Danio rerio: one gene and its partners. The protein of the gene in region 5 purifies or fractionates together with the protein of the main gene of each other region. This does not show direct contact. Links are inferred from orthologs where the notes say so. Each region holds a gene or a part of one and is shown on either strand. Other genes may lie near its edges. The genes, in order: cables2a, cdkn1a, pcna, cables1, cdk5, tmem94 and fibpb.

The links.
Region 1: the proteins of cdk5 (region 5) and cables2a purify together in Homo sapiens (affinity purification with mass spectrometry; 6 studies listed by BioGRID and IntAct, with this or other methods). This does not show direct contact. The link is inferred for Danio rerio from reciprocal best matches to the Homo sapiens genes CDK5 and CABLES2.
Region 2: the proteins of cdk5 (region 5) and cdkn1a purify together in Homo sapiens (affinity purification with mass spectrometry; 5 studies listed by BioGRID and IntAct, with this or other methods). This does not show direct contact. The link is inferred for Danio rerio from reciprocal best matches to the Homo sapiens genes CDK5 and CDKN1A.
Region 3: the proteins of cdk5 (region 5) and pcna purify together in Homo sapiens (affinity purification with western blotting; 3 studies listed by BioGRID and IntAct, with this or other methods). This does not show direct contact. The link is inferred for Danio rerio from reciprocal best matches to the Homo sapiens genes CDK5 and PCNA.
Region 4: the proteins of cdk5 (region 5) and cables1 purify together in Homo sapiens (affinity purification with mass spectrometry; 7 studies listed by BioGRID and IntAct, counting the BioPlex papers as one, with this or other methods). This does not show direct contact. The link is inferred for Danio rerio from reciprocal best matches to the Homo sapiens genes CDK5 and CABLES1.
Region 6: the proteins of cdk5 (region 5) and tmem94 purify together in Homo sapiens (affinity purification with mass spectrometry; 5 studies listed by BioGRID and IntAct, with this or other methods). This does not show direct contact. The link is inferred for Danio rerio from reciprocal best matches to the Homo sapiens genes CDK5 and TMEM94.
Region 7: the proteins of cdk5 (region 5) and fibpb purify together in Homo sapiens (affinity purification with mass spectrometry; 7 studies listed by BioGRID and IntAct, counting the BioPlex papers as one, with this or other methods). This does not show direct contact. The link is inferred for Danio rerio from reciprocal best matches to the Homo sapiens genes CDK5 and FIBP.

What each region holds. Positions count from the first base shown.
Region 1 is NC_133198.1:33,838,653-33,842,775, reverse strand, and holds the start of cables2a (CDK5 and ABL1 enzyme substrate 2), read right to left. Parts: upstream 2,801-4,123; 5' UTR 2,793-2,800; coding exon 2,263-2,792; intron 1-2,262. UniProt on the Homo sapiens protein: Unknown. Probably involved in G1-S cell cycle transition.
Region 2 is NC_133197.1:620,015-622,947, forward strand, and holds the end of cdkn1a (cyclin-dependent kinase inhibitor 1), read right to left. Parts: coding exon 2,612-2,933; intron 2,061-2,611; coding exon 2,005-2,060; 3' UTR 501-2,004; downstream 1-500. UniProt on the Homo sapiens protein: Plays an important role in controlling cell cycle progression and DNA damage-induced G2 arrest. Involved in p53/TP53 mediated inhibition of cellular proliferation in response to DNA damage.
Region 3 is NC_133185.1:46,058,752-46,062,802, reverse strand, and holds the start of pcna (proliferating cell nuclear antigen), read left to right. Parts: upstream 1-1,251; 5' UTR 1,252-1,513; coding exon 1,514-1,734; exon of another isoform or gene 1,735-1,787; coding exon of another isoform or gene 1,788-1,819; exon of another isoform or gene 1,820-2,009; intron 2,010-2,213; coding exon 2,214-2,311; intron 2,312-2,733; coding exon 2,734-2,801; intron 2,802-3,308; coding exon 3,309-3,503; intron 3,504-4,051. Other genes in the region: E3 ubiquitin-protein ligase TRIM69, read right to left, coding at 1,788-1,819. UniProt on the Homo sapiens protein: Auxiliary protein of DNA polymerase delta and epsilon, is involved in the control of eukaryotic DNA replication by increasing the polymerase's processibility during elongation of the leading strand.
Region 4 is NC_133177.1:4,629,900-4,633,399, forward strand, and holds part of cables1 (CDK5 and ABL1 enzyme substrate 1), read left to right. Parts: intron 1-360; coding exon 361-568; intron 569-2,181; coding exon 2,182-2,322; 3' UTR 2,323-3,500. UniProt on the Homo sapiens protein: Cyclin-dependent kinase binding protein.
Region 5 is NC_133199.1:37,952,665-37,956,164, reverse strand, and holds part of cdk5 (cyclin-dependent kinase 5), read left to right. Parts: intron 1-729; coding exon 730-804; intron 805-1,238; coding exon 1,239-1,335; intron 1,336-1,416; coding exon 1,417-1,486; intron 1,487-2,253; coding exon 2,254-2,314; intron 2,315-3,500. UniProt on the Homo sapiens protein: Proline-directed serine/threonine-protein kinase essential for neuronal cell cycle arrest and differentiation and may be involved in apoptotic cell death in neuronal diseases by triggering abortive cell cycle re-entry. Interacts with D1 and D3-type G1 cyclins.
Region 6 is NC_133187.1:35,542,304-35,545,803, forward strand, and holds part of tmem94 (transmembrane protein 94), read right to left. Parts: intron 1,862-3,500; coding exon 1,757-1,861; intron 1-1,756. UniProt on the Homo sapiens protein: Could function in the uptake of Mg(2+) from the cytosol into the endoplasmic reticulum and regulate intracellular Mg(2+) homeostasis.
Region 7 is NC_133196.1:27,046,622-27,049,320, reverse strand, and holds part of fibpb (acidic fibroblast growth factor intracellular-binding protein B), read left to right. Parts: intron 1-764; coding exon 765-873; intron 874-951; coding exon 952-1,015; intron 1,016-2,699. UniProt on the Homo sapiens protein: May be involved in mitogenic function of FGF1. May mediate with IER2 FGF-signaling in the establishment of laterality in the embryo.

The DNA of each region.
Region 1 (4,123 bases), on a different chromosome or scaffold from region 5:
CGAGAAGTGCCATGGGATTTTTAATGACCACAGGGAGTCAGGACCTCGGTTTAACGTCTCATCCAAAAGACGGCGCCCACTGACAGTGTAGTGTCCCCTTCACTTTTACTGGGGCATTAGGACTCACGTAGACCACAGGTTGAGCGCCCCCTGTTGGCCTCACTAACACCACTTCCAACAGCAACCTAGTGTTCCCTAGTGGTCTCCCATCCAGGTACTAACCAGGCTCAACCCTGCTTAGCTTCAGTGAGTAACTGGTCTTGGGCTGCAGGGTGATATGGCTGTGGCCATATCCAAAGTCCAAAGTCACCAGGGACATACATCCTGGATTATCTTCTTCACATGTTTGATTTTTTTACTCGTCTATATTTCAGTCTGGCCTCCTATCAGACCATATCATACTTATGTTAGGTTTTTAAACCTTTCTGACCTATGCTCAGGGACTAAAGGGACTAGCATTCCACACTCCTTCGGCTGTGTCCCCTCGTATCAGTTACACAATTTCATAGAAAGATAAAATAACAAACATCAAAGTAGTCATGCATGGTTTAACTGAGAAATTAATATATATGAATTTTCACCACATCATCAACACTTGAATAGCCTGATTCCTGAACAAATCTGTATTAGGATGTTCATACTACTTGTTCAAATGTATTCATTTATTTAATCTTGGGAGTCCTGGAGTGTGTGACATGCACATTGTATTTTTTTTACGTAAAAAAAAAAAAAACTTTTATGAAGTTTATTTTATTTAAGAACATTTGAATATGCAAAACTGTTTTGCATCATGCTGGGTTGTGATGATATTTTCTCAGCTGAGAAAGCTTATAAAATGTGTTAACACTGAACCAATGAACTACAATGGGCAGCATTGTTAGTATGAAAAGTAATACTAGAGAGGTCACTCCTTTGTGGTCAAATCTTATGACATCATGTCCTGGTTAGTTTAGATGTGTTTGATTGCTCTTGTGTTCATACTTCAGTTAAACCATGACAGGGTTCATTTGAAACTGGACTGAGACCCAAATCTAAGTTAGTGTCATGGTGTATTAGACGTTGTGTAGAAATTAACCAATTTAATACTGCTTTATGCTATAGAAAGTAATATTTTATTAGTTAATTTACAAAAATGCAGTTACAGAAACACTTTTAATACATGCTAAATACTTTATATTGATATAATGAATGATATAGATTGTTTTAGAAAATGTATTTTTAAAAGGATACATAATTTGATTATCTCTAAAAGATCATCATCATATTTTTTATTTAATGCCGTGTGAGCAACAGAAACTATTTTTAAGGCATTTTTTTATTTTGTTATGAATAAATATTCAATTATCACTGTTACGTCAGACATGCATGACTTCAGACATTAATTAACGTATTTGACCCTAATTATTGCATTAAGCTGCCTTGGAATGTTCAGGTCTTGGAGTGGGACTTGGGTTAAAACAAAAAAGAAAGAAGAATACTGTAATATATAATAATAATAATAATAATAATAATAAAACGTAGTTTTCCTTCAAGAAATAAATATTCAATTACAAAACCACAAACATGAATACAAAATTAGATAAGATTTTAAAGGTTAATAGATGATAGAACTTTAAAAAACATTAAGTGACAAGTTGCTGAATATCTTCTTGCCCTCTTACATATAAATAAAAAATGTCTTATTTAGTATTTGCTAGCGATTTCTTTATAATAAATAAAGGATTAAGGTTAAGGATTCAGATTCTGAAATGAGTATCATTTCCATACCGACATGCTTATCAAATATCGCAGAAATATTTCCTGTCAAACTCTTAGACAACTTAGAAAACAACTCAAAGATGAAAATGAAAGTTTGACAATAAGGCGGAAGTCAGCATTTCCCCTCATAGATTATTTTGTTTTGTTTTTGACACTGTAATATGCACCGTTTAAATCTCCACTGCCTCAAAGTCATAAACGATTGTAAACATTGGTTAAAAGGCCAGATTCAGTTATGGCTGTTTACTTACATGACACAACATCAAACCAAAGTCCCTTTATAGTCTGATCAAACACGAAATAGGATTTGTGAATAATCTTTTAGCTTGCCAATTACATATCCAATTGATGACAAATACACTTATATAGAGGTTTGTGTATGTCTAGACTGAACATTTGCCCCACAATCTTTATAAAATATGTAATTTACGCTTACAATGCGTTACAAGAAATCAAATACGCCTGTCATTGTTTGCTAACCTGCGTGAAAAAAACAAAACCAACCTTTGACGCGGATCAGGCAGAGGGTTAGAGCTCGGGAACTGGCTGGGGGATTTACTGGATCCCAAAGCCGTATTCCGAGGTCCAGCGGTCGGTGATAGAGGGGGAGCCTGGACTGACAAAGGATCTGATCGTCCATCCTCCGTGAAAACGTCGCTGCTCCCTTGGTTAAGCGCCGGAGGAGGGCTCATAGGAGCAGGGTAAGTGTTAACGTTAGTCCTCGGTATAGGGGTAGCAGCTCCTCCGCTAATGGAGGATGACACTTGGGTGAAGGTTCCGTAGCTGCTGGTTGTCGACAGAGGGAGACCCGCCACCGCCGCGCCGACATCCACACACCGGCTGTCGACTTCCCTGGGGCCAACGAGTCCATTGCTCAGGTTGTAAACCGGGCGTCCATCTAAAGATATATTAGTGAGAAACAACAACGCCGCTTGTCTGCGACGAGAATCCCGGCTTTTTCGCAGCAGTTCTTTGTGTGGTTTGGCTGAATTAGTCCTCGGACAGCCGCGAGGACCGCAAGCGGCGGCCGCCATTCTACTGTGAGTAAGCTAAAAGCAGACAGAGCTATTACACCGGCGGAGAGACTAGCCACGCCTTCTGTCTCCTGATTGGTTCGAATTCCTGACAGTTGCATATAAATGAGTTTTTACTGTAGCGGATTGGACGAGAGGTCTTGGTTCATAAATTTGTACAACAATTTGGCTTCAAATCTGCAGACGAGACGACGCTAGGAATTTTAGACATCTGTTGCTTTCTATGATAAATGTTACATTTCAATTAGAGTTAAACTTATGTCTGCTCATTTATGTACATTATTTATAATGGTATATATACACACATATGAAAAAAACAACAACTCTGGCTTCATTGGGTTTGAATAAAATGTTAACATTTGTTTTATTGTATATAACATATTTTTATTTGTTGTGATTGGAAATATAGGTTTCCCCTTTAAATAGTGTCTTAAAATAAATATAAACCTTTCTCAAAATATTTATTTTTGTTATTTTATGTAAATAATAATAATAACAATAATGTTAATAATAATAATAATAATAATGATAATAATAATAATGTTATTATTATAAATAACTAAATATATTAATGAATGAATGAATGAATGAATGAATAACAACTTACCCCACTGTACTCACCTTATGCAATTTAGATTTGTCAACACAATACATTTGCAATTATTCGTTCATTTTCTATTATGCAATTTGAAAATGTATTTACAATATAATGCTCTACTGTATTTTGTAATGTCAGAATGTCTTTATTGTTATATGATGCTGCAAATGTAAGCCTAGGTTTTTCTAAGCTCATTCCAGGTGTTGAAGCTTATCTGCAAAGTCCACTATGTTATATAAATAGACTGACGTCTGTAACAGCTCATAGGATAATAAAAAAGGATAAAGAAAAAAGCAATTTCCGGATACTTTGGTTTGATAAAATGTTGGCAGCAAGAGCCATAATCAGAACTTGATTATATGTATTTCTCAGAATAACCACTACTGCTTTATTTTCTTTATTTTACAAAACCAAACTCATTAACATATGCATTTGTTTGCTATTATTTAGGCAATTGTTTGAGAATAAAATATGTCTGAGAGTGCTACTTCTGAGCTGAAATACACTTGCAGTTCCACATTATGTGATGTAATCGGGCTTCAGCTAATATTTTATAATCTACTGATCCTCTGTTAGCAGGGAATTAACCTAATCTGCCTGCTCAAAATACACTCAAAAGTTTCGAAATGTTAAGATTTGTCAATGTTTTGTAAGTCTCTTCCATGAACCAATGTTGCAATTAATTAAAAAAGTAATTGTTGTGTAATATTTTTTCAATTCACTGTTTTCATGT
Region 2 (2,933 bases), on a different chromosome or scaffold from region 5:
TTGTTTCTTCGAATTCCAATTTTTTTCGTTTGCATCTTGGAATTCATACTTTTTTCTTGGAATGCTTAGTTTACATGTTGAAATACGGTTTTATTTTTTTGCTTGGAATTCAAAGTTTGCATCTTGTAATACTGCTTTTTTTTTAGTTCTGATGTTATGTTTAAAATTTACAATTCTGGCATCTTTGCTTGGAATTCCCAGTTTGCATCTTGAAATACTGACTTTTTTCTTGGTATTATCAATTCACTCTTCAAAATTCCAACTTTTTATTCCTTTGAATTCTGAGTTGGAATACTGACTTTTTTTTCTTGGATTTGTAAATCCACACCTGATAATTCTGACAAAATCTGGGTTTTCATCTCACAATATATATTTTTTTGTTTGTAATTTTTACTTCTCCTAATTCTAACTTTCATTCTTCAAAATCTAAATTTACATCTCACAATTCTGAACTGTTTCCTAAAGGAATTCTGACAATTAAAAAAGTAACAAGAAACCAATTTTATATCATAAACAGCTTTATTACAAGAACAATTACATGTAAATCTACAATACAATATTAATCTGTAAAATAAATACAGCATATATTTTGAGCTCTTTAACAATAACAGACCTGTGCAAGCTACACTACTCCAAAAAATAAAAACAAAACAAAAGAAACCCCAAGTGCAATTCTCAATCGACGGCGAATTATCCAATAAACAGGATATTTACAGACGGGTCGCAGAAAACAAGCAGAGTTCTAGAGCTGGTAAAGAGCTGAATGCTAAACTTCAGAAAGCCGACAGAGCTGAGATCTTGATTAGGAAACACATGAAAGCTGGTGTTCGTACTTCTTATGAAGTTTATTTTAATGTATTTGTAGAGCGTTTGTAAATATGATGTAGTGTCAGCGTTCATGGAGCAAGAGCAGAACACACTTCTGCGCAAATTCGTTACGAAAAATGCTGTGTTTTAACAGTCTTTTGTGGTCTAATCTGATCTATGTTGTATTAAAATTGAAATGCGTAAAATTGCGTCAATTCTAATTCTCGAATTGACGTTTCACGCAATTAGATTTTCACGCTAAACCTAATGCAACAAAATAATTTCACGAATAAATTGCGCAAATAATTATTTAATTCTTTGTAAAAAAAATGTGCATGTTAATTTTCAGTTTTTTTTATTTCTTATTTTTTAACTTTTTTTATTGTCATTGCAATATTTCTTATATATTTGGTAGAATAAGTTTGTTGCTATAATTATTCTTAAAGCATTTCTATACTAATTCTGTACAAATTTAACAAAAAAAAATGTTTTCCAAAAGATTTGCATAATTCTTACAACATTTTGTGCACGTAAACTTTAAGCCTACATTTATTTCAACACAAAAACTGCATAAAAAAAATTGTGCAAAAATGTTTTCGTTAAAATAAACGCAAGAATGAATTTGTTCTCTCAGTTCTATCTGCTCGTGTTTCATGAACGTCGCCAAGTGTTTTTTTTTTAAACAAAGTTTAATGTAGTAGAAAAACGTAATTGCAGCTCAATTACGATAAAGATGTGAGAACTTACTGGCAGCTTCATGAAGGTTTATGTGTAAAATAACATAAAGGGTTAGAATTATAAATAGAAGAAGAGGAAAAAACAACATTTGGCACCAAATGTTTAGAGTTTTAAAACATTAGCTACGTTTTGTGCAATAAGGCAATGTGAATATGTGCACGCTGAAATAAAAATCAGCGCTTTATATTGTTCGTAATGAAACAGTTGTCATGATTCTGTGGTCCCGTCGAGAGACAATCTCTGGAAGACTGAGGAATGGATCTTTCCAGAACATTTCCACTTGTAAATGTTAACCGTTGACATAAAACGGTTGAAATAAAAACGGAATAAACGGTGTCGTCTCTGGTTCCTGAAGGTCGTTTTCTGTCAATAACGCTGCTACGAGACGAATGCAGCTCCAGACAGATGAAGGTAGATGCAGGTCAAGAGTTTATCTGTGTGTGTGTGTGTCTCCTTCAGCTACTGGCCGGATTTGCGCGGCGTGGCCACTAGACGCTTCTTGGCTTGGTAGAAATCTGAGAACAGAGAGACGATATTATTTGTTTATTATTAGTCGAACTCACGCTTTAAATTTACATCAGAATACAAGCAGTTTAATATTACTACAATAATACTACACTCAGTGGTTCATTATTATAACAAAAAAATTAATTCTAAATTTGTATTAATGTAAAAATATCTATCAATATGCGATTATGTATATAATTCAAATATGCGATAATGTAAATCAATCTGTGTCGTGTTTGTTAGCTGAAGTTTTTGGTTGATTAAAGTACAATATAAAATAAATACGCAATTTAAAAAATGCATTAAAATATAAATATTAGATGAAAAATTTAAAAACAGAAACTTAAAACTTTACATCTAAAAATTCAACACTTTTAATAGGGTATTATAGAAAAATGCATAAAAGCAGATCATCAGAGAGTTGCATTATAGAAACACTACGACATTTATTTATTTATCTTTCTTTAATTTTTGTTATTTAAAAAAATAATCAACAAACAAACATAGCTATATACATAAATAATAACAATACTAAATAATAATAATAAAGAGGTCTGACCTGTGATGTTGGTCTGTTTGCGCTTCAGCTCGCTGCTCTTCTCTGGGGTTTTCTCCACTTCATGCGGGAGTGCAGCACATCGTTCTGGTGTTTTCGGGATGTTTTCCTTTCCAGCGGCGGACTGTCCGGGCTGATGAGCCTCACAGGGCCGTTTCTGCTGCTTTTCCTGACACGCGCGGTACAGTAGTGGCACGCGCACGCCGGACACGCCCTCCCAGTGGAAGTCTCCGCCCTCTAGTGGTTTCTCAGACGCAAAGTCGAAGCTCCAGCGTCGCGATGCGTCCTCCAGATCGCGCCGTAGCGCCGCCCGGTACTCACGCTG
Region 3 (4,051 bases), on a different chromosome or scaffold from region 5:
ATTATCCTTAACTGAAGACCGCACCTGCAGTTACACCATAGATATATACATATATATATACATACACACACACACACACACACACATACATACATATATATATATATATATATATATATATATATATATATATATATATATATATATATATATGCTCAAGTATCCCCAACTGTATCCCTTCTTTTGTTTGTGTAACACATATATGTATGTATGTATGTATGTATATATATATATATATATATATATATATATATATATATATATATACATACATAAATGTGTTACACAAACAAAAGAAGGGATACAGTTGTGGGATACTTGATCATGCGCACATCAACATAGCATGATTTTTGTGACACAACAGTATTTTACGTTACTGTGATGGGTCGATTTAGGATTTGGGTAAGGTAGACGTTATTAAAAAGCATTATAATGGGTATTCATAAATATTATAAGTAGTTATTGTTAACTGAAGACCGCAGCTATATCCTTTAGCAACAAAACATGTGTTACACAAAAAGTTGCGGATACTTGGGCATGCGCACATCAACATCAATCGTTGGTACACTGCACAACAATAATTAATATTTTACGTTACTGTGACTTGTCGATTTAGGGTTTGGTTAGGGGTATACGTTATTAAAACGCACTGTAATGGGTATTTATAATTTTTATAAATAATTCTCGTTAACTGCTGACCGTAGCTGTATCCCTTCTAGCAACAGCACAGTAATTTGTCACAGAAACAAAAAAGGGATACAGGTGCGTATACTTGGGCATGCGCACATCAACATAGTCTGATCTTTGGTAAACTGCACAACAATAATTAATAATTTACGTTACTGTGACTGGTCAATTTAGGGTTTGGTTAGGGGGTATACGTTATTAAAACGCACTGTAATGGGTATTTATAAATTTTATAAATAATTCTCGTTAACTGCCGACCGTAGCTGTATCCCTTCTAGCAACAGCACAGTAATTTGTCAAAGAAACAAAAAAAGGGATACAGTTGTGGATACTTGGGCATGCGCACGTTGACATAGCATCATTTTTCACACTGTACGACAATATATAATATTTTACACCACAGTGACGGGTCAGTTTAGGGTTTGGGTGGGGGTAAAGGTTATTAAAACGCACTGTAATGGGTATTCATAAATGTTGTGAATAACTCATACCTTCTGACCAAATTGCGCCCTCTTTTGGTCAGTGTCCGCAGTTCTGTCTGCGTTCCAGGAGGAGTCAAACGTCAGCGGAAATGACGAAGGCAACAGTGGGTCAGTTTAACAAAATCCCGGCGAAAGCGCGCGCAGTTACATTCAGAGCCTCGCCAGAACAGTGGACAGCACATCTGCACCGTGCCTCCTCTGCATTAGTACCTGCTAAACTCTAGGATAGTTTAGGATTCTGCTTTCCTGTGCTGGAAAACAAGCAGTTAACCAGGCCGCAGCTTGTGTCGTAACAGGATTAGATAACTTTAGTTCCTCCTACTCTAAACTAAGAAAGCAGCACAATGTTTGAGGCACGTCTGGTTCAGGGATCTATCCTTAAGAAGGTCCTGGAGGCTCTGAAAGACCTGATCACCGAGGCTTGCTGGGATGTGAGCTCGTCGGGCATTTCTCTGCAGAGTATGGACTCCTCTCATGTGTCTCTGGTGCAGCTGACGCTCCGGAGTGACGGGTTCGACTCCTACCGCTGCGACAGAAACCTAGCCATGGGGGTCAATCTGAGCAGGTAAAATCACTGACTAAATCAAGCGCCTTTTGTGTTATTTGACTCGTATTTACTTGGTGAGTGAAGTTTGAACATGTCTGCGCATGCCCGGGGCTGCGCCTCTACACAGCAGCGCGCCATTTTTAGACTATAAAGTGACAAAAGTATTTTATTTACAGTAGTTGTTATTAAAGTATGCCGTTTTACGGTTGTGTTTTAAATAGGCTATCAGTTTAATTTGGCGCGCAGTTTCCTGCATTCGTCCCACGCTCTACTGATCGTGACGTCACTTGCGCGCGCTTAAGCTTGTTGGCGGGAAAGAAAATGCCGGGTTGCTGAATGACAACATGGCTCTGGTGTTAGACAAAGAAAACCTGCTTAGACACTTTTTGTGTATGCCATGACTGTTTCGAATGTAAATGGTAAACCATTTTACGATCAATATGGTGTTTTTCTACCTGAAGTGAACGTGTTTTGATTATTATTCATCTGTTTCCTAGCATGTCGAAGATTCTGAAGTGTGCTGGAAATGAAGACATCATCACACTCAGAGCTGAAGACAATGCTGACGCCTTGGCACTGGTCTTTGAAACGCTCAGTAAGTTAACTTCTTTTTAAACTAGGAATAGCAATACTTTTGATAGTGTACAATTAAAAAAAACTTTTTTTTATTATGAATTTATTTTATGTTGCTAAATTTATATTTGCAGTATTTTAATATCGATTTATCAGCAATACCTGTTAAAAACATGGGCTTTGGTTTAAAATGAATCATTAAAGTTAAGCTAAATAATTAATACTTAATATTTAAAAATAATTTTCTAATAATAATTTTCTCCAAAAATGTAAGAATGAAATTCGCATAGATACTGGAGCCATTTTGTGGTTAATAACATCACATAAAAAAAATGCTTCTAGTATGGATTTTCTTCACCATGTTATCAACTATTACTATGAAACCAAAAGTTAAGTTTTGCTGGAGAGCTAATAATCCATACTAATATTTACATCTCATTTCAGATCAAGAGAAAGTGTCCGACTATGAGATGAAACTGATGGATCTGGATGTGGAGCAGCTTGGCATTCCAGTAAGACTTTATTATAACAGGGTGTCTGCAGGGTCATTAAAAGTTGATAAATCAATTTGGTATTAAACAGCCTTAACTGTTGTTTTACAAGATATAATTGTTTTGGTCATTTTATGATTATATAATGTGTAGTTGTGTGCTAAAGTTTGCCTAAATTTAATCTGTGTGGTTTATGAAATTGATAAAATCCTGCTAGATTTGGCATCACACTGCTTTGTCTACTGCAGTAATAAAGGCAAGCCTATGTTTCCTGCTGTTCTATAGGTGCCATCTGTTGGGATTAGCATTTTTATTCAGTACATGACCGATTTAGTTTAGGATTCGTTTCTTACAATCAGTATTTAGTAAATATACTACAAGTTGAATTGTCACCAATGTTAAGTTAAAACCTAAAATGGCGATGAGGTCTTAAAGTTTATTGAGTTTCCCTCTCTTGATTCCTGTTTATTTCTGATATGATCGTGGATGTTTGTCTGCAATGATCATGCTTTATTCTCTTCCCCTCAGGAGCAGGAATACAGTTGTGTGGTGAAGATGCCGTCGGGTGAGTTTGCCCGCATCTGCAGGGATCTGTCACAGATTGGTGATGCTGTCATGATCTCGTGTGCCAAGGATGGCGTGAAGTTCTCTGCCAGCGGAGAGCTGGGCACAGGCAACATCAAGCTCTCACAGACCAGCAACGTCGACAAGGAGGATGAAGCGGTAACATACTATTCATTTAAGGCTGCACGATACTGGGAAAAATATGCAATATATATTCTATAATCAAACATTTCTCTGAAAAAGTCAATTTAATTAGCTGTTTTAAAAAAATTATTTCATGATTTTGCAATAAACAAGTAAAATATATTTTCCAGATCTAATTCAGACTTAAAACTGTCAAGATGCAAACCTTTAGTCTTTAAAGCACTATTAGTGAGAATCATTTTTTAGCTCTGATTTCACCTTTAAGCCAATCCAGCCAATAGCAGAACAGCAACTACTTAGGAGGCGGGGCTAAAGGTAGTAAAGGCCCCATCTGATTGATCAGATTTATATAATAAGCAGCTTTATTTTCATTTAGCACCTTTAAAAGTAGCATCTCGGGGCACTTTACAGACATAATGTGCAGCTGTTAAAGATGCATACAGGATGAATGCAAAAAAAATGCAATGAATATAATCAAACGCTTACAATAATAATAAATCTAAAAAGCTACCCTAAAAGAGTAGGTTATAAGTGATTTAATAATTATCTGGGATTTTATCAGA
Region 4 (3,500 bases), on a different chromosome or scaffold from region 5:
TCGGCTTAGTCCCTTTATTAATCTGGGGTCGCCACTGCGGAATTAACCGCTAATTTATCCAGCATATGCTTTACGCAGCGGATGCTAAATTCAAAACTAAATTTTTTAATTCAATACTCACTCATAAATCTGATTCATTTGTGGAATTATGTATGATTTTTACTTGTGAATTCACACATTGTGTTTTTAATTTATGAATTGGATTTGTGCATTTATGAATTGTGTTTTGACTTTACCAATTGGATTGTGTAAATGTGAATTGTGCGACTTTTGTTTTGCAAATGTATTCTTCTTGAGACCATATCTGGCTCCATACTAGAGCATTGAGTTGAGTATGTGGCATTGTGTTTGGTGTTGTAGCCTGAAGAGAGAGATCCGGAAACTCACCCAGGAGGAGTTCGGCTATGAGGAGTCTACAGTGGCCATGGCCTTTGTTTACTTCGAGAAGCTGGTGCTTCAGGGCAAACTCAACAAACAGAACCGCAAACTCTGCGCCGGAGCCTGTGTCCTCCTCGCAGCCAAGATTGGAGGAGACCTGAAGAAACATGAAGTCAAGCTCCTGATCGACGTAAGTTTATTTATATTGTTGTAGCATCGATAACGCATTTTGTCACCACACATGCAAATAACATGGAACACAACCGAAGGATTGCAAGGAGACGCAAAAACTGGCTGGGATTTGCTTATTGTGCAGAACAGAGACATTTTGAAGAATGTTGGAAACCTGTAACCATTGACTTTCATGGTATTTTTTTTTTTTGTACTGTAGTAGTCAATGGCTATCTATTCCTTCATTGAAACATTGTTTAAAATATTTTCTTCTGTGTTCAATAGCTTGAGTCATTTAAATCTGTAGAGTGTGAAACTGAGAAAAAGGACTTCATTCTAAACACTTAAACTGGAAATCTGGCAACCAGAAAAACAATTAAACTTACTCAAGAAAACTTGTCTATATGATTAAAGAGTAAATGTCTCATAAATAACAATAGCTCATTTTCGACAATAAATTAAAATAAAAAACCCTGTTGCGATAACCTGGATTTGGAACAAGTAAATATTAAAAATAAAATGTTAAATAATAAAACTGGAAATCTGGCAACCAGAAAAACAATTAAGCTAACTTGTGAATGTTCCATAAACGTCAATAGCTCAACACACAACAATGTGGACTTATCGCAATATCTAAATAATAAAACTGGAAATCTTTCCAACTAGAAAGTCAATTAAAGCTACTTAAGATAACTTGTTCATTTGATAGAAGAGCGAATGCCCCATGAATATCAATTGCTCATTTTCAGCCATAAACAAAAAAATATAACCACTTTGTGATAACGTGGCCTTGTCGCAACAAGTAAATACTAAAAATAAAATAATAATCTGGCAACCAGAAAAACTGTTAAACTAACTAGTGAATGTCCCAAAAATATCAATTGTTCATTGTTAACTATAAACAAAAAAAGTAGCCACGTGTTGCGACAATGTGGACTTGGTACATGTAAATAATAAAAATAAAATAATAAAACTGGAAATCTGGCAACTAGAAAAACAATGGAACTAACTCAAGATAAGATATTAATAGCTCATTGTTAGCCGCAAAAAAAAAAAAAAATGTAACCACATGTTGCGATAGCATGGACTTGGAACATGTAAATAGTAAAAATAAAATAATAAACTGGAAATCTGGCAACCAAGAAAATCAATTAAACTAATTAGTGAACGTATTTTATTTGGCCATAAAAAAGGTAACCACATGTTGCGACAACGAAGACTTGTTGCAACGTTAAATAATAAAAACAAAACAATGAAACTGGAAATCTGGCAACCAGAAAAACAATGCCACAAAAATATCAATAGCTCATTTTCAGCCATAAACAACAACAAAAAAATGTAACCACAAGTTGCCACAACGTGGAGTTGGAACATGTAAATAATAAAAATAAAATAATAAAACAAAATCTGGCAACTAGCACATATCAGCAGCTCATTTTTGGCCATAAACAAACTTTCTGCCTTTTGCACAGCAGTAAAATAGGCCCCCTGAGACTAAAATCAGACATTGTAGAGGGAAAAAAGGCATTCTTTAAATCTCAATAGGGTGTATTTTTAGACGTTCCGCTGTTGTGTAAGGGTTGTCTTCGATTACTGTTATGTAACGAAACCCCCTGATCTCTTTCCATCTAGAAACTGGAGGAGAGGTTTAGGGTGAACCGTCGAGAGCTGATCGCCTTCGAGTTCCCAGTTCTGGTGGCTCTAGAGTTCAACCTGCACCTCCCCGAGCACGAAGTCATGCCGCATTACAGACGCCTGCTGCAAAACTCCTAGCGACAGCCCCATCAGGAGAAGCCCAGCGTCTCTCCTGATCTCCCCCAGAAAAAAACCCTATGCACATCGCCAACGATCATCTCCAGATGTTGGAACGAAGACACTATTCCACTGTTCTCCTTTCGGCCAAAGTGACAGCTCTTTCGTTTTGACTTGAAGAAGCTACTTTCTAAAGGGAAGACCTCTTTCCTAGACTGTTGATTTTTCTCAGTTAACTGGGAACATTTGTTTTCCTGCTTGCAGGTGTTAGACATACTGAGGGTTCTGTCAGCATTTGATCGGCCCATGTTGTTCGAATAAGGTTGTTTTTTTTCTCGATGAAACACAAAAGTAGAAATCGCTGATGTTTTCAATACAGTGGCGAGCTACAAAAACGCGACAAAATTGGTCCGTTTGACCAGTGCTCTGTTCTGAAGCCGTAGTTTTTTTTTTAAGTAGAAGACTCAACGTTCATCCAAAAATGAAAAACACGCCAAACTTGTATCGCTTGGTTTTATATGCAAAACACGTTGAAATTCCGAAATATTGACCGTACAGTGTAAATAAAACCTTTTACAGAAAACAGTAGTGAACAAGTAGAGCTGCACGATATTGGAAAAATCTGACATTGCGATATAAAGTTTTTCTGTCATATGTACTGCGATATATTGCATCTATACAATTTCACCTAATAATTAAATAGCACTACTTGGAAAGAATTTATAGACACACTTTATTTTAAGCAGAGGGCTTAAAAAGGGCCGGTGTCCAGCAAAGTTTAGCTCCAAGCTCAATCAGAGACACCTGGGCTAGCCAATCAATCTCTTACTAGGCATTCTAGAAACGTCCTTGCAGTTGTGGCAAGTTGGAATAAAAATCTGCAGGACAGCGGCCCTCCAGGACAGAGTTTGGGCACCCCTCGTTTTAGGGCTCATTTTAAGAGACTGACTTTTTTTTTTTTTTAAGTCACGCTCCCGACAGGTATTATTCCGCACTCGACCCCTGGAGGGCCGGTGTCCAGCAAAGTTTAGCTCCAACCCCAATTGGACAAACCTGGACTAGCTAATCAAGCTCTTACCAGGCTTTCTAGAAACATCCTTGCAGGTATGTTGAGGCAAGTTTCAACTAAAATCTGCAGGACGCTGGCCCTTAAGGACTGAGTTTGGGCACCCCTGATTTTAAGGCTTACTTCCCGCTAG
Region 5 (3,500 bases):
AATTGTATTTAAATTACTTCATATTCTTATTACTTTGCTTCATTACTCAAGTCATTTAATTACTTGACTACATATGATTACTTGGGTTCAGAAAATCTCAAAGCTTAAAAAGTGTAAGTTAAACTCTCAAATCTTTTAAGTCAAATGGAGCATTTTTAGCTTTATTTTAAAAAAATCTTAAAGTTTTTAGTTTTTATTTATTCATTTATTTTTAATTGACAAGAATGTTCAATCTTTTTTGGACAAATTTGCTGAAAGCCGATGATCCCCTTCAAATGTTGACTATTGTAAATACACACACTATATATACACACACTATATATACATACACTGTCCCGACTGGGTGTCCATTCTTCGTACGTGGATCACTGAGTTAGCTGGATTTGGATATTGACGATTTTACAGACCTGTAAACTGTGTTTGTAATTGTACCTTTTTTGTTTTGCTTTTGTCTTTTGTCATGTCTTTATGGGACCCTCTTGAAAATAAGATTAGTTTCATCTTATCCTTTAAATAAATTGAAATGGTTAACTTTCAATGTACCATATTTATAGTTAAACTGTAATTAATTTACCTAAAATGATAAGTAATCTGTTAAAGTAACTTTGTAACTATTTAATCCCAGCACTGAGTGTGTAAGGCACCATAATCAAGTTGGAATTGTTTTATTTCTGCTTGTGCTACTAAAAGCGCTTTCTCTTTAATTCTGTATTTTTGTGTTGTCTTCAGAACGGGGAACTGAAGTTGGCTGATTTCGGCTTGGCCAGAGCGTTTGGGATCCCTGTACGCTGTTATTCTGCTGAGGTCAGAGACGCCACTTTTCTTTATATTGTTGGTTTTATTTCCAGGTCTACATGAAATCAAAATGTACAATGTTTGTTTTGCTAGCGCACTTTCTTGTTCTTTGGGTGAACAATTAATCAGTGTAAGTAATTCGTTAAACAAATAAGTTTGTTTTGGTCTTCAATCTTCAATCAAAGTCTGAGCAATTGTTTCTGCATTTGGATTGGCTCCTTTTCTGTTGACATCAGTTTGACGGCTTCAGCCACAATATTCTTTACCACGCCCCTTTTACTTTTAGTGGCTTTGAGGAAATTATGCAAAATAAGGAAGCCCCGCCCCCTAATGATTATTCAGTTTCAGAGAGAAGTACATCAGCATTACTCTAATAAAAGTCTCAGTAACTTCCGGTTCGTGTAGACTATAGCAGTTTTAATCTTTTTGTTGGTTTTGTTCAGGTGGTGACGTTGTGGTACAGGCCTCCGGATGTACTGTTTGGTGCTAAACTCTACTCTACCTCTATCGACATGTGGTCTGCAGGCTGTATATTTGCAGGTACAACAAAACACTATTTTATTGTCTTGTAATATTGATAATAACTATAGTATATAAAGTATTATTATAATTTTTTTGTAGAACTGGCAAATGCAGGACGGCCTTTATTTCCTGGTAACGATGTGGACGATCAGCTAAAGAGGATCTTTCGATATCCTTTACATCCAGACGATCCTTTTAAGATTAATATGGATAAAACAGTACTACTGTTATTTATCTATAATTGTTATTAACAAAGTTTTTTTGGTGGTTATATGTGTAGTAATTCCATTGGGGGTTTTGCTGTGTGTATATATGAACAAGGGTAAAATAAGTCATGTTTTTTTTCTGTTGACATGAAATTGTATGAAACAGTAAACTAATAACACACAAGTTTCACTTTATGAAACAAATTATTAAAATAAATGGACTTTTCCTTAATATTCAATTTATATATATTATATATAATATATATTATATATATTATATATAATATATATTATATATATTATATATAATATATATAATATTATATATATATAATATATGTTATATATATATATATATATATATATATATATATTATATTTATTAATATATATATATATATATATATATATATATATTAATAAAAAAAAAAATATATATATATATATATTACCTCAAGTTAATATCTCAGGTTTCTACTATTATTTCAACTTAATAATAATAATAAATTATTTATTTATTTTAAGTGATTCAAATGCAATACATTTCAGTTAGTTACCAAGGCAACTGTTCTCACTTTTGGGTTAAATTAGCATTTTCTTCATAATTCCTCTGCCAAGTAATATAATTAAGTTGCCAAGCTTGTTGCTAAAAGTAGGCAGATTAATAAAGGGTGAGTGGTGGTAGTTTTTATAATAATAACCTGTGTGATTAACTTTAACATTCTGCCACATTGCTGGGAACGCCAACAGAAGAACAGTGGCAGACTATGAATAAACTTCCAGATTATAAGGTACATCACTCACCTGTCTGAAAAATAAACAGCGCACAGTAACAAGGGGAATGTGTGCACAGAAATGAGCAATTTGAGAAATACAGTGGTCTCTCGCGGTTCACCTTTCACAGCCTTGCAGATTTTCTCTGTATAATTAGACACTTTTTTTACAGCGCATTGTGTTCTACGTCCTGATTAGCACATTGTGTTCTGCGTCCTGATTGGCTGTAGACCATCTCCTCCGTGCCGTCTCCTGTACAGTACAAAATGCGTTCAGCTTGCTAAAATTAACATAAATCAAGCAGTGTGACTCTGAAGTATGTTTGCAAGTTTTCTCTCTACAAATCCCTGCACCGTCAAAGGCACCTGCGGAAGTACCCAAAAGGCTGAAGTAGATGCTAACTTATCGCACAAAAAGTTGGACTTCTAGACATGATAAAGACAAGTTTCGTAGCTGTAGGACACCATTACGGAATAAATAAATCTTCGGCTCTTTACATAAAAAAGGACGGAAATAACATAAAGATGACAGCAGCTATAAGCTTCAACAAAGTTACAATAAGGGTTGTAACTGTCTGCAACAAGACCATCGTAAGCATGGAGTCTGCTTTGGATTAGATTAGATTAGATTAGATTAGATTCAACTTTATTGTCATTACACATGTACAAGTACAATGCAACGAAATGCAGTTTAGGTCTAACCAGCAGTGCAACAGCAGCAAGTGCAGGATACAGGTATATATATTTAGCTTTGAGTATCAGTGATTGCAGGAAAAATGTTGATGCCTGTCTGAGAAAAGCCTATAAAGTGTGCAGTGAGGGGTTCTACAGCCTTAAAACATCTATTCATTCATTAATTTTCCTTCGGCTTAGTCCCTTTATAGCATATGAATTACACAGTGAATGCCCATCCAGCTGCAACACATTACTGGGAAACATCCATACACACATTTTTACACACATACACTACGGCCAATTTAGTTTATTCAATTCAGCTATAGCATATGTCTTTGGACTGAGGGTGATACCGGAGCACCCAGAGAAAACCCATGCCAACACGTGGAGAACATGCAAACTTCACACAGATATGCCAACTGACCCAGCTGTGACTCGAACCAGCAACCTTCTTGCTGTGAGGCGACAGTGCTAACCACTGAGTCACCGTGTCGCCCTTAAAACATCTATAATAATTGTAAAAAAATAA
Region 6 (3,500 bases), on a different chromosome or scaffold from region 5:
CCAAATCCAAAAAAACTATGTACTTTAATCCATGATGCCTTATTTTTATTTCATTTAAAATTTAAAAGATGCCACTACCATGACTAAGGTCCACTGCTTCCGTCAAATCACGTTAAAAAGAAATTAACAAAGTAAACAAAAGTACTTTTAAACCTATATGACTTTCTTTTTTGCTGTTACTGCTCTTGTTGAACACAAAGTGTAAGCTATTTTGAAGAATGTAAGAAACCTAATGCCATTGACATAAATTTATAGCAGTAAAAAAATATTACTGAAGTGAGGGGCTATCAATATTCAACATTCTTCAAAATCTCTTTTTTTGTGTTTAACAGAAGGCAGGTTTGGAAAATGTGGTGACGAGTAAATGATTACAGAAGTTTATTTTTTAGGGTGCACAATTTCAGTAAAACTAAATCAGATTAGAGCGATACCAAAAATGTAAATTCTGTCATCGTTTACTCTCCCTCCACTTGCTCCAAAGCTGTTCCTTCATTCTGTTGTAACTGGTTAGTCGTTGACTACCACAGTATTTTTTGTTACTACTACAGATGTCAATGGCAGCTGGTTTCTAACATGCTTTAGAACTTTAGGTGCGTCCCAAAATCACATACTTGCACACAATTCTTCGCCATTTTGTAGTATAAATAGTTTAAGTAGTGCATTCACACTGAAAACTCTAAAAATAATAAGTGCACTTTAATTACGTTGATGATGCACTTACTCAACCGGTAAATTTAAGTGTGGAATAATGGACACTTAACACACTCAACATTCGCAGCTTTGCTCGCATAGTAAAAGGGGCAGAGCTCTCGGGCACACATATTTGATAACTTTATTTATTTTGGATTGTGAAAGCAAAATTCTGATACAAGATTGATTATAGCGCTTTCCGATGGTGAATGTGGTTATACGCATGGCAGGTCTTATTTGGTACTTTGGTCCTTTATTTCACTATTTTGGCAACCGTCAAATGTCATCTGGGAAACGGTTTGAATTTCCTCTTAATAAAACAACGTTAGTGTTCCATTTGGGACAACACGACATACATATACTATGCTGTTGAGTGTGTAAGTGCATATGTACATAGCATGCCATTTGACACAGCGAGTGTTTCTCAACCATGTTCCTGGAGGACCACCAGCTCTGCATATTTCCATGTCTTCTTAACCAAACACACCTGATTTAGATCATCAGCTCATTAGCAAAGACTGAAACCCCTGTAATGTTTGTGACAAACAAAGGAGAAATCCAAAACATGCAGTGGTGGTGGTCCTCCAGGTACGTGGTTGAGAAACACTGCTTTAGAATATCTTGTTTTGTGTTCAACAGAAGTAACAAATTTAGAAATGTTTAAAACAACTTGAGTGTGAAGAAATAGTGCGGAAATGTTCATGTTGGGTAAACTATCCCTTTAAGAGTTTACCACACAAGTGCCACAGAAATATTGTAAACATTGATAATCTATTTAACGGCATTTAAAAGACAGCTAAGACAGGATGTACAAGAATATGCACTTTAAAGATGTTTATGTTTAGCCTATTTGTAGGATTCCACACATGCTCTCGTCTTATTCATTGTAAACACTTGTTATTTGTTTTTACAACTGCTCTCCTCAATGTCAGCTCCTTCTGTAAATTGATTACAAGGTTCAAATAAAACATAAGTACAATCTTAAAGTGAACATTAATTATTTTTTCCATCAATCTAGAAATAGGAAGTCTAATATCTCGTATGTGACGCCAGGGGGAGCACTCACAGTGACTGAACCCAATGTGTGCAGCAGACTGGAGGTATAACACAGGGTCTGGGACTCTCCCTTCAACACACTGACCAGGTGTCTCCACACACAGCGTAGCATCTCCTGTAAACATGCACACATAACACACACACACATGCGCACAACATGAGTCTCATATTCAACAGAAACTCAAATCCATCTATCAGCAGCTCTTGGTTTCGAATGGCTCTGCAAAAGTGTCAGGATTTATGAAACCTGAAACCTGGTTCAAAACACAGACACAGACACGCGCACACACGTACACACGTACACACACATACGCGCAGAGTCTGGGTAGGTTAAGCAGGAAAAAAAGCAGTGTTATCCTATCCAGTCTTGGGTTTATCCAGCTGCATTTAGAAATTAAGTGGAGTTTCATTAAAGCACAAGAACAAGATTAATGCACCTTGCAGCAGAAAGCAGTAAAAGGGAGAGGGGAAATTGAATTGACTGAATGACTGGAGGTTTAGAACTTGAAGCAAACAAGTTGAAGCTTGAGGCAGCAGCTACAGGAGAGCAGCACTGCGGGAACTGAAGATGGTTAGTTCTTGGCATTAATATGAAGTCTATGTAAAATCAAAACTGTCCACATTACAAATGTCAAATATTGTCAATAAACAATCAAATTGCTTTTTTAGGTTATTAGGCAAAAACTGTACATGTGTGACATTTAAAAAACTGTTTTAATCAAGATTTTAATTTTAATTTCACACTCCCAGTGTTAAGGGTAACATATTACATGTAACACAAGTTATATAATAATATTAATTTTCTAAGTAGCAAGTACAGTAATGCATTACTTTTAAAAAAAAAAAGTAATAATATCGGAGTTACTTTTTTAAAAATGTAACGCGAGAAGGTGTAGAAGGTGATTGTCTTCAGAAACATTTTTTGTGATGGTTGAAAGTCTCTCTACACTGCAATAGTGATAATTAAAGTAAACGATTTAAATGTGTTTATGTATTTTTATATTCTAGGTAAGACATAAAACCAAAAAAATGTTCATCCAATTTAATATTGTCGAGCTGATAATTCCCATAATTCTGATAAGTAGCCCAAACTGTCTGTCAGCAAATATAGATTTGAACAACTGCGCATCTGTTTGCGCAGATCCGCTGATGCACGGTTCACACAGACATCGATCACGTGGACACGAGTGAGAGTGTGAAAAACAAGTGCTCAATCAAAACTTTAAAATTTTAAAATTTTTCAACTTTAATCAATATTGCATATTATTGTTAACAATAACAATATTGTTATTTTTGCATTTGGGTATTTCTTTTAGACAGGTAATGTTCTCTTTTAAATTGTTTTAAAATTTTAATTAATTAAAGTATTTTATTCATCCAAAGCCTATGTAGATGTTGTTACAAATGGGTTACATGCACAGAAGTGTTGTTCAGCCACTGATCTCCACCAGTGAACAATTGATGTGACAATTTTCAATTTCATAAGAGACCTTTTACAGCATTGATAATGTAGATTTTTATTTAGTTAAACAACAAAACATAAGTAGATAGCGCTATTTCACCTAGCTTGCTTTACTGAGGTGAAGTTGGTTTTATATTCACAATGGTTCATTGTTGAACAATGACAGCCTGTGATGCGCTCCCTATATTGTTGACCAGGCTACTCTGAATATTCTAGTCTGAAATAGCATGCAAGTATGGTTTAGTAATAAGTGTAATTCCTGCACGCCGCCAGCCAACTACTAAGCATACAG
Region 7 (2,699 bases), on a different chromosome or scaffold from region 5:
GTTTCAAAACAGCTTTACGAAAGGTGCAAAATAATACATTACAACAAAATTAAGTTCAAGTTACTATCAAATATAAGTTATTATATCTAAGCATAGTTAACCTGCAGTTTTGTAGTATATAGGTGATGTCTACGTGTACATGTGCAATGAAGTGTATTAAGTGTATGTTTTGTCCTTAAAATTCTCTCTTCACAGGCCTTGGATCCCATATAAATGTACTCGTTATTTATTTGCCTTCAAGTGGTTCCAAACTCATTTGAGTTTTATTCTTATGTGGAACTCAAAAGAAGATATTTTGAAGAATGTTGAAAACCGATAACCATTGACATCTATAATAGGAAAACAAATACTGTGGAAGTGAATGGTCACAGTTTTCTGCCAATTTTCAAAATACCTTCTGTTCAGCAGAAGAAAGAAACTCAAACAGGTTTGAGACAAAGAAAGGATGAGTACTTTTAATTTTGAGGTGAACTACTGCATTAAGAACCAAGCATATGTCCCTGTTTGCACCATGTATTAACAAGTGTTTTAGTGATCTGATCACAAGTGTGCAGCGAGATACCACCTGGTTTACTACTACTAAATCACATTATAGTGAGTGTTTTTTATGTGCAATAGTGAATGGCAAAAATTTAAACAAGCTGAGAGGTGATGTACAGTATGACCATTTTTTTTTCGGAGAAGATTAATGGTTGAAGGTTTCACAAAACAAAAGATCTTTGAAAGGTGATAACATTCTTGTTTTCTTTCTGATACTTTCTCAGACAACATGATTGAAGATATGGACGTTGATCTTGAAAAAGATTTTCTACATGACTTGAAAGACTTGAAGGTCTTGGTGAATGATAAGGACTTGCTGGACCAACACAAAAGGCAAGCAAGTTAATTGCCAGATGTAATGGTGTGGACATGTGCTGTTTCTAACATTTCTTTTCTCTTTGCCAACACTAGTTTGGTGTGTGGACAGCTTAGAGGGAAAATAAAAGTCTTTAATGAGATGGAGGCCAGTTTTAAGGTGAGCAGCATGTTTTTTTAATTGTAAAGTCATATATAGATGATGATTTTAAATATATTGGGAATAAAATAAATGCAAAGATCAAAAGTGCCAGCAACAAGAATAGAGCAGTTTTAAATAAATGATTTTCTTTTAAAAAAAATTATTCTTTCATCAAGTGATCCTGAAAAAAGAATGGTAAAGGAACACTCTTTTTTTTGAAAATAGGCAAATTTTATTTCCCCTGCAGTTTAATTTTAGTTTAGCCATTTTGAAATTCATTCCACTAATATTCAGGTCTTTTGGGGGCAATTTTAGCTAAGCTTAGCATTAATTATTGAATCAGAATAGACCATAGCGTTGCACTCAAAAATGTTCATATTTAAAGCTTGGCTATTCTGTGGTTACAATGTGTACTAAGACTGATGAAAACTGAATAGTTGCTATTTTCTAAGTTAATTTGGCTTTGAATTATACCAGGGTTTCCCCATATTAATCAAGCAACTTTGCTGCTGTATTATGGCTGAAGCAGGAACAATGATGTTACACAGATTCTGCTGGTGCAAGTGTTGCGCTTGGTGATGGGGAGTATTTTCATGCACTGTGAAATATCATTGTGCCTGCTACAGACATGGTGAATCTACAAAGGATGGTACAAAACACAAAATGGGTCAGTTTAGTTTCTAATCACAATCTGGTATTGTAACACTAAGAAATAACATACATCAGTATAAAATACATAGTTTTATAATCTACAATTTACAGTATTTAAAAAAAGCTATTCTAAAAATTTAAAAAAATCTGAAATTAGGCAGATTTTAGGAAATCTGAGATTTTGATACAGTAAGATGAGGGAAAAGTTAATTCTAACCTCTAATATAAAAGAATAAACATAAGACTTCATATCTTTAACTATAATATTAGACTGAGCTCTTGTAGCTATAGCTCAGGGCTCTAGATTAATTCCTTCATTCATTTATATTTACATACATATACAGTCGAGGTCAGAATTATTAGCCCCCCTTTAAATTTTTTTGTCTTTTTTAAATATTTCCCAAATGATGTTTAACAGAACAAGGAAGTTTTCACAGTATGTCTGATAATATTTTTTCTTCTGGAGAAAGTCTTATTTATTTTATTTTGGCTAGAATAAAAGCAGTTATTAAATTTTTAAACCCCATTTTAAGGTCAAATTTATTAGCCCCTATTAGCAAATTTGTTTTTATTTTTCGATAGTCTACAGAAAAAAACATTGTTATACAACAAATTGCCTAATTACCCTAACCTGCCTAGGTAATCTAATTAACCTACTGTAGTTAAGCCTTTAAATGTCACTTTAAGCTGTATGGAAGTGTCTTGAAAAACATCTAGTCAAGTGTTATTTACTGTCATCATGGCAAAGATAAAATAAATCAGTTATTAGAAATGAGTTATTAAAACTATAATGTTTAGAAATGTGTTGAAGAAATCTTCTCTCCGTTAAACAGAAATTAGGGGGGGGGGGAAATAAACAGGGGGACTAAGACTTCAGGGGGGCTAATAATTCTGACTTTAATATATATAATATATAATTCATGAGAGAAACACACACAAGCAATTATTGAGTTTTGGTGGCATCTTGAACAAAAATCTTTAAAATGGTAAAACATGAAGCATGCAAGAAATGTTGCCTTAGTGAGTGAATGAATTCAACAGCTAGGCCTAT